Linked DNA regions of Schizosaccharomyces pombe. The protein of the gene in region 1 interacts with the protein of each later gene in a biochemical or structural test. Each region holds a gene or a part of one and is shown in the gene's direction. Other genes may lie near its edges. The genes, in order: mob2 and orb6.

Evidence for each region.
Region 2: the proteins of mob2 (region 1) and orb6 form a complex in vitro, tested with the Schizosaccharomyces pombe proteins (one study listed by BioGRID).

What each region holds. Positions count from the first base shown.
Region 1 is NC_003421.2:506,301-510,941, forward strand, and holds mob2 (protein kinase activator Mob2), read left to right. Parts: upstream 1-1,742; 5' UTR 1,743-1,752; coding exon 1,753-2,020; exon of another isoform or gene 2,021-2,186; intron 2,187-2,476; coding exon 2,477-2,570; intron 2,571-2,635; coding exon 2,636-3,008; 3' UTR 3,009-4,034; downstream 4,035-4,641. Other genes in the region: rpl3601 (60S ribosomal protein L36), read right to left, coding at 115-192, 354-575; cbr1 (cytochrome b5 reductase), read right to left, coding at 4,135-4,641. UniProt on the Schizosaccharomyces pombe protein: Required for coordinating polarized cell growth during interphase with the onset of mitosis.
Region 2 is NC_003424.3:1,006,196-1,011,070, forward strand, and holds orb6 (serine/threonine protein kinase Orb6), read left to right. Parts: upstream 1-2,067; 5' UTR 2,068-2,243; coding exon 2,244-2,386; intron 2,387-2,653; coding exon 2,654-2,828; intron 2,829-2,873; coding exon 2,874-3,965; 3' UTR 3,966-4,123; downstream 4,124-4,875. Other genes in the region: gamma-glutamyl phosphate reductase Pro1, read left to right, coding at 199-1,554; dnf1 (P-type ATPase), read right to left, coding at 4,445-4,875. UniProt on the Schizosaccharomyces pombe protein: Interacts with pak1/shk1 and coordinates cell morphogenesis with the cell cycle. It is essential for maintenance of cell polarity and is involved in mitotic control.

The sequences.
Region 1 (4,641 bases):
TTTCTACTCTTTCACCAACTACCTAGCTAATTTTCAACTACACACGACCTTTTTACAATTGTTGTCATAGCATGAAATCCTTTTTATTTATTACAAAACATAAACAGGGATTTTTTAGTGAGCCAAACGAGAGCTTTGGATGACAGAGGTAAGCTCTTCAATCTTTCCCTTGGCACGCTTAAGGGTACCGAGCTAAAAAGTTGTTAGAATAAGAATAAATTCAATAACAAAACATAATATCCCATTACAGTATTCATAGCTCCGAGTCTCAAAATACCACAAGTGAATTTGAGTATACTAAGCTTTGAAGCTCTCTACGAGCATGTACAGTAACAGAACAAAATTTTACATACCCTCTTCTTGGCCAATTTGCGGGCACGCTTGTCTTGGGAGTTACGGATCAATTCCATGACACGACGCTCATAGGGAGCGAATCCAGCAACCTCACGAACGATAGAACGGACAAAAGAAGTACGCTTGGACAATTGTCCCTTACGGCGAGAAGGACGCTCAGGAAGTTGACGCTTGGTCAAAACCTTTCCTTTGTTTAAACCAACAACCAGACCAGGTGCCATTGTGAGATTGGTGTAGGGGAAAACTTACTGCGCTATAGTACAGACTATCACTGCCCTTAACGAAAATAACGGTCACAAAACTCAACCCTAACCTACATCCCTTTAACCAAAAAAATCGCACGAAATAACGATTCCTACCTCTGTATGGCTTATCAATTTTTAGCGTAAGTAAAGGAGGCAATACTACAGGTTCTCATTGTATTGTAAACAATGGAAATTGCTTCCATCTGCGGGTTTCAAAGGGTAAAGTCGAGAACGGTTATTACATAGTACTGAAACACTACATAATAAAACGTATTATGCCATAAATTATAACGAACGGTTCGTTTTTTTTGAAATTAGAGTTGCCCCTACGAGTAAATGTATGTCATTCAGTCTCCCAGCAATGCCATGCCCTCGTACGCAGCAGACGAAAGGCTACAGACAAGAACATGGGTAATCCCTTGCACTCAAATTGATTAGTAATGTATTTTATAAGCAGCAATGAAACAGCAGTCATACAAATCCTTGAGCATCCCGAAATATCACAGTATCCACGCTCCTTCAATTCCCGCATTTTCTACCGTATTTAGAAATGACTGATAACGCATTCCACCGCATCTCGTAATATCTTTTCTTTAGAAGAGGTATTGTCTTTCTTTCATCGTTTTGCTGTCTATGATCTCAAGAATGGCGATTTTCAGAGATAGACGTTATGGGTGCTAATTGTGCCATGATCGTACTCATCTTGTAAATCCCTGACGGTGAGAAAACGAGTTCTCCGTTTCAGCAACATCGGTGGTGTATGAGATAATGGATAACCAGTCCCAACCAAATATTTACAGAACCCTCAGACGAATTCGCTGGAAAGTAACATTCCCATCATCAGAAGGAAGACTCCTCTTGTTATGAAAATTTCACTAGCAAGTGACATCGATAGCTCCTAGCGTTCCTTATTTCACATCCGAGAGATCCTTACTATATTAGTCGGGAACCCTTTACTGCTTGACATTTACCGCTCTTGAAACTCGTTACTAAACCGGATATACGGAAGCTTAACACGTTCGATATTAAACAATATCGTTTTTGAAGGGATCAACTTTATTATTGGCTTACATAACGTTATCTAGAGTGGAGTAACTCGTTATAGGGGTCAGCCAACACAAAGCGTGGGCCTTTGTATAACCTGTCCTTTGCCATGTTTCTGTTAAATTCATTAAGTAGGATTACTCGAGGGAATCGATCCAAAAGGCATCAAAACCTTTCAGATGCAAGTAGCTCTTCTGGTTCTTTCTCCAAGAAAAGTTCTACATCGCAATTGGTGCGTACGGGGTCGCCGAGTGTAGAGCCTACAGCTTTGTATTTGCAGCAGCCATTTGTTCGGACTCATTTGGTAAAGGGTAATTTTTCCACGATCGTTTCTTTGCCAAGGTTCGTGGACCTAGATGAATGGGTTGCTTTAAATGGTATGTTGCTTTGTTTTTTGCAGTTTCGCGTCAGCAGAAGAATGATGGAGGTATTGGTTACTGGACAAGTGTTTTTAAATTTGACCAAAGCACTGTCTTTATCATCATTTTCCTTTGAGGGAAGATTCTTGACGGATTACTTTGCTAGGTTTCTTTGAATTGCATGACATGAATAGGAGGAAATTGAAGTGAACGTTCGATGGTACTAGGAAATTATACTTTGAGATAATTAGAAACCCAGGAATCTAGCTTCAAATTTTAAAAACCATAAATTTCAATCTTTTTATTATTATTATTATTTTTGTTTTTTCATCGTTCAACAAAAATTTCTTCTTTTTTTCCGGATACGTAATCCGTTCTGTCAACAACTTGTCTTGTGCTAACCGTTACAACTCTTTGCTTTTCTTCACGTTTTTTTTTGTTTCTTTATATATTTTCTAACTCTTTTCATTTTAGTCTACGAGTTGTTTACTTACCTCAATCATTTTTACGACGTGTTTGCTACATTTTGCACTGTAAAGACTTGTCCTGTTATGAGTGCTGCAGCCAAGTATGTGATTCTCTAGTTAATTATTTTCTCACCTCTACCTTTACTAACTTACTCTTTTATTATAGTTTCGACTATACTTGGTTGGATAACAACCGTAAACCCGTCCATTTACCCGCTCCCCAATATATTGAATACGTACTCGCTTGGATTGAAAATAGATTGCATGATCAAAACGTCTTTCCTACAAAGGCAGGCTTGCCATTTCCTTCAAATTTTCTTGTTATTGTTAAAGCCATATATAAACAAATGTTTCGCATTTTTGCCCATATGTATTATGCTCATTATGCAGAAATCCTTCATCTCTCTTTAGAAGCCCACTGGAATTCATTCTTTGCTCACTTTATTGCTTTTGGTAAAGAGTTTCAACTGTTGGATAAACGTGACACTGCTCCGTTAAAAGATCTTATTGTTGTCTTAGAAAATCAAGGAAATATTTAATATTCTTGCCGAAGGCAGGACACACTTCTGTTTTCTACCATTTATCTCTTTTGTTTTCGTCCTTTCCTTTACCCCCTCTTCCCACAAATACCCTCTTCCCTCGAATCCTCTCTCTGCTACACAGGCAGTAAGTTATATGCTAAATTCCTACACTTCCTTTTGTTCGTTTTTCGTTACCACCTTCATTAGCTAATTACTATTTGTATTTCTTGATGCCATTTTCTTTATTTTTACATCCTATTCCTTTTGGACTCTTGGCATATTCGCTTGCATTCACTGATTTCACGGGAATTTTTAAACAGACTTTGGCCGTATTCCTTAGAAATTATCTTCAACGTCCGTTTAGTTTCTTAACTATATCTTGCATTTTATGTGACTCATTCCACATTATTCCTTGATAATTATAAGAGATCTTATCCTTCTCAACAAAAATAATCCGCTAATGCTCTCCTTTCCTATATCTAACCATCAACTTCTTTTTTTAAAGTCCACAGCCTTGCTCCCCTTCTTAACCTTGGACTTGACCGATAAGCAAATTAAAAAAAAGTAAAACTTGTTACAACTGAAATTTGTTTTTGTTTTAATGTCCACTTTTTTTATAGCAGCAATTTACTCAAATGAACTGAAGACGTTTCCAAATTCGACACTTTTAATTTTTCCCTTCAGTCTTTTGTTGGGTTATTGGGCTTACTGATAAATAATTCAAAAAATTGTTTGTGGACGAACAGTGATTATAATTATTTCCTAAATTGAACGTTACATTCTCAAAGGATCGAGTTATGGTCTGACTCTCTTTTTATACTTTACGATAATTCAATTTTTGGGCATACTAATGGATATCCTTTAAACTGAAATAAATCTCAATGTAAATTTTGTTTATTTCTCTTTTAAGATTGCATTGGCTTGATCCTTCACTAGACTAGACTGTGTACGTATCATTGCTAACTTCAATCCAAGCAGATAAAAAAGTCTCTAGCTTATTCGTAAACATATAGTCACGTCAAATAATTAACTACTTAAAACATGTGCCGTGTAGTAAGATAAATTGCAGTAGAGTGAGTCGATTGGCAACATAAAACGAAGAACATTATTGAAACGAGGGAAGGGAAATAATCAAAATTAAAATCTAAAAGACAAATACTTGATCCTCAAGCTTCGAAATGGCTCGGGACTTTTCATATCCCAATGCAACTGTAGCTTCTCTGAGTGAATTAACCATGGGAGTAGGGCCACAAATAAGAACTTTGGTTTCAGGAGAAGGAGCAGGGAAATGCGCCTTGATAAGTTCTTGAGTAACAAATCCAACACTTCCCTTCCAGTTTTCAGGAGGATTGTTCAAAACATAATGAACGGTAAAACGAGGATCCTTCTTAGCAAGTGCGTCAATCTCATCACGAAGAACAATATCACCCTCTGATACATTAGCATATAAAAGAGTGATTTCCGTTGGATCTTCAAAATTAGAAAGAACAGCACGAATGATTTGAAGCATAGGAGTAATACCTGTTCCGCCTGCGATCATGCCAAAATGGCGCGCGAGGCCAGTGCGATGCTTCCAATTTCCCTTAGGGCCACGAACACCGATGGTATCACCAATCTTAAGTTCAGAAAACTTCTTACTCACTTTGCCATT
Region 2 (4,875 bases), on another chromosome or scaffold:
ATGTAAAGTAACAATGCTTGATTTTGTTACTTGAAGGGTGTTAAATAAATCACGAACTTGCATTATTCATACATTAGAAAAAACAACCAAAATACTACAAAAAGTAGTCTTTTTGAGCTAGCCATTCTAAGAATAAGAATTCGCTTGATTTAAATCTCCCAATTGCCTCTACTCAAAGTTGTATAAGTATTGTTTAGCATGTCTCTTGAAGAGAATGTAAAGGAAGCGAAAAACGCTTTTAACATTTTACAGACATTATCAGTGGAAGACCGTGATGATGCATTGGATAAAATAGTTGAAGAACTGCGCATAAAAAAGTCAGAGGTTCTAGCTGCAAATGCTGAAGATATGAAAGCAGCTAAGCTCTTGGCTGAATCAGGAAAACTAAGTTCATCGATGGTTAAAAGATTGGATCTGTCTTCATCTGATAAATACGATTCCATGGTACAGGGTGTTTTAGATGTTAAAAGTTTGCCTGATCCCCTTGGTCGTGTTACTTATGCTCGTAGTCTTGACGATGGTTTGGACCTTTATAAAGTCTCTTGCCCTGTAGGTTTATTGCTAGTCATTTTTGAAGCTAGACCTGAAGTAATCATTAATATTACTTCCCTGGCTATCAAATCTGGTAATGCTGTTGTACTTAAAGGAGGCACGGAATCAGCAAAGTCTTTCGCTGCACTTTCTAATGTTGTTCGCTCTGCCTTGGGCAAAAGTAAGGTTCCACAGGCTGCTGTGCAGCTTGTTCAGAGTCGCGAGGAGGTATCACAATTATTAAAATTGGATGAGTACATAGATTTGGTTATTCCCCGCGGCAGCACTAATCTTGTACGCCATATAAAAGATAACACAAAAATTCCTGTTTTAGGTCATGCTGCAGGACTATGCTCCATGTACGTCCATGAGGATGCTGATATGGAATTGGCTAGTAAACTTGTTCTGGATGGAAAAACTGATTATCCAGCAGCATGTAATGCAATTGAAACTTTGTTAATTAACGAAGCTGTTTTATCTTCTCATCTTCCTAAAATTGCTGAAACTTTAACTGAAGCAAAAGTTACATTAAAATGTGATCCCGCTTCTCTTAAGGTTTTAAAGGATATGCCAAAAGTTAGTGCTCTAGTTGAACCATCTGTCGATCAAGATTACAACACTGAATTCTCTGATTTGATTCTTGCTATTAAGACTGTACCTTCCTTACAGTCCGCAATGCAGCATATAAATACACATGGTTCTAAACACACGGATTGCATTATCACTTCTAGTGAAGCAGCTGCTAACAGATTCATGGCTGGAATTGATGCTTCTGGTGTGTATTGGAATGCTTCAACCAGATTTGCCGATGGTTTTCGTTATGGTTACGGTACCGAAGTTGGCATCAGCACCAACAAAATTCATGCTCGAGGACCAATGGGTCTTGATGGGTTAACTATTTACAAGTACCAACTTAGAGGAAATGGTCAAGTTGCAAGTAGTTATGGAGTTGGACCTGGCAAACGCGCATTTAAACATACCCCTATTAATATAGACAATATTTCTCAGGTTTCGAAAAAATAAACACAAAAAAGATTTGAAAATTATGTGAAATTGTCAACGTTTTGGCTAGCTGCATTTTGGATACAAATCGGTTAGGCTTTTTTTGTTTACTTGTTTGTCTATAATATTTAAATGGGAGTTTCAATAATGTGAAGTTATTAAATGAAGAGTAAACACCAAATTAAATAGATAACTATTCCTGTAGAGTTCGATCCACCACCTTTAGTTTTTATTACACAAATATTTTTATGGTGAAGAACGAATTGATGTCTCCGTCCGTCTTTTTTGACTATTCATTTCAATTCAGATTCTAAAATCTTCGTAAGCTAAGATTCTTGGCTTCAGTTAGTAGCGTCGTAATATTGAACAGGGAGGGTTAGGAAATGCGCGGAGCTTATCGCAAGCGATCGTTGAAGTTATATAACAAACTGCAGAAGTACTTGCTTTTCCAGTATCGCAGTTTAACATATTTTTATCGGATTATACCTTAGCTGGCAGTAGTCCTATAATTAAAAAAGCATAATAGGACTTGTCATTTACCATATCCGATTTATCACTGTCTCATTTCTGTTTTGCATGTCTTGTTAATTCATGTTTTAAGCGATTGAATTTCAATCTTTTAACAATTTCTTTTTGTTAATTAATTCGTTGACCTTGTAGTTGATTCTAATTAGTGTAAAAATTCCATTTATTGCAACATTTCTTTCAATATGGATAAGAATGATTACTTACACTTTGAACGGAACCCTTCATTATTTCCGAAATCAACTTTAGACAAAGTCCAAAAGACAAAGAAATATATTGAACATTATTACAAGGTGGCAGTTGATCATGCTGTAGAGCGCAACCAAAGGTACGAGTAGCATTACTATTCAGGGTTCTAGCATTGTTTCACATTCCTCAATTAGTATTCCCATCTTATACGTTGATCGGATAAGTATCAAAGACGATGCTTTTATTAATTCTTTCTCCGTTCTCAACTTCGCGTGTTGCAGTAAATGCATAATCTCGAATGTTTATAAAATCTTAGACAGCTTACTCATCTTGTTTCGAAAATGTTAATTAATAATGCTAGCTTCCGTTTAATTTACTTTTAGGTATAAATACTAATTCTCTTTAGACGTATCAATTTGGAGCAACGATTAGCAACCGAAAGGGGTTCTGAGGAGAGAAAGAATAGGCAGTTAAGAGCATCTGGTGAAAAAGAGTCTCAATTTCTTCGATTTCGTCGTACACGGCTTTCTTTAGAAGATTTTTCTACCATCAAAGTTATTGGGAAAGGTGCATTTGGCGAGGTACGTTTGCATAATTGTTTATGTTTTTGGTATCTAATTAAATAGGTTCGGTTGGTTCAGAAACTCGATACGGGTAAAATCTATGCCATGAAATCTTTGCTTAAAACTGAAATGTTCAAACGTGACCAGCTGGCTCATGTCAAAGCAGAACGCGACTTATTAGTTGAATCTGACTCCCCATGGGTGGTGTCATTGTATTATGCTTTTCAAGATTCACTGTATCTTTACTTGATTATGGAGTTTTTACCAGGCGGTGATTTGATGACCATGCTAATAAATTATGATACTTTTTCAGAAGACGTTACTCGCTTCTACATGGCTGAGTGCGTTTTGGCTATAGCTGATGTTCATCGAATGGGTTATATTCATCGGGATATAAAACCGGATAACATACTGATTGACCGGGATGGCCATATAAAACTTTCTGATTTCGGACTTTCCACTGGTTTTTACAAGCAAGATCAGAGTGCCTCTTACATGAAACCTCGCACAGGAAATACTGTCAAACGTGGTCAAATGGTAGATGCTATCTGGCTTACAATGTCTTCCAAGGACAAAATGGCTACTTGGAAAAAGAACCGTAGGGTGATGGCCTATAGCACTGTGGGTACTCCTGATTATATCGCTCCAGAAATTTTCTTGCAACAAGGGTATGGTCAAGATTGTGATTGGTGGAGTTTAGGCGCTATCATGTTCGAGTGCTTAATTGGATGGCCTCCCTTTTGCAGTGAAAACTCTCATGAAACTTATCGAAAAATCATCAATTGGCGTGAGACTCTGACTTTCCCAAATGATATACATTTAAGCATAGAAGCTCGTGATTTGATGGACCGACTTATGACAGATTCAGAACACAGATTAGGTCGTGGCGGTGCTATTGAAATAATGCAACATCCTTTCTTTACTGGAATCGATTGGGATCATATACGAGAAACTGCAGCTCCATTTATTCCGAATTTGAAATCTATTACCGATACACATTATTTCCCTGTTGATGAGCTTGAACAAGTTCCTGAACAACCTGTCACACAACAACCTGCTTCTGTTGACCCTCAGACGTTGGAACAAACCAATCTGGCATTCCTTGGGTACACTTACAAAAAATTCAATTATTTAACGATGAAAGGAGCATTGTAAGACTTCTGCAAGAAACTCCATAGCTACTTTGTTCATTGTCCTTTGAGCATCTAACTATTGTTATCGAATTTTTTTTATCGTTAATTCATGTTTACCTTCTTTTACATTATTTTAGCATAACTAATAATATTACCAATTACTTTTTTTTAATGTTGTCCCTACTGATAAAATCTTACATGCACTTCTGTAAATATTAAATTCGTTGCATAAGAATTCCAAATTAATGCATAGATTTTATTAGGGAAAAGATAAAAAAGAGTGAGTAAAAAACATGTATTAATAAGTACAACAGGATGTTAACGCCAAGAAAACCAACCAAAATAGTAAACAATAATTATGAAATGCGGATCATGACCCATAACTAATAGACAATTTCTAATTGAACAGTGGGAACCCCAGAATTTTAACATTTTACCAGTAAACTGACTATCGTCTAAAGAAAGTTTCATATACTAGAATTGGATTAATGAATTAAATGCCTAATCTCGGCTTTTTAAATATTGTTCAATTTCATCGACAGATGGTGCATTGGCTTGTAAAAACTCACCGCTCTCTTGCTCAAACCGAGAGCGGACAAAGGCATCGTTTTCCATTTCCACAAATATGTCGGTGTCCGTAGGACGTAAAGTCCTTCGTAACATTTGGGCAACAATATCAATTGTTAAAGCACAAACCATTACAAAAAGCATAGTAAGCCACCATGAAGGATTTTTGCCAAAATGATGGAGAAACTGTGATCTAGCAAGATATAAATTCTTGTCCGGATAATGCTCGCTTATAAAGATATTAAATAAAAACCAAGCCAAGGACGTTAAAACAAGTACTATTATAGAAATGATGTTTATGTATTGCATCTCTATAAAGACCAATTTGAAATTCATGATAAAAATAGCAGCAGTAAAAATGAGTT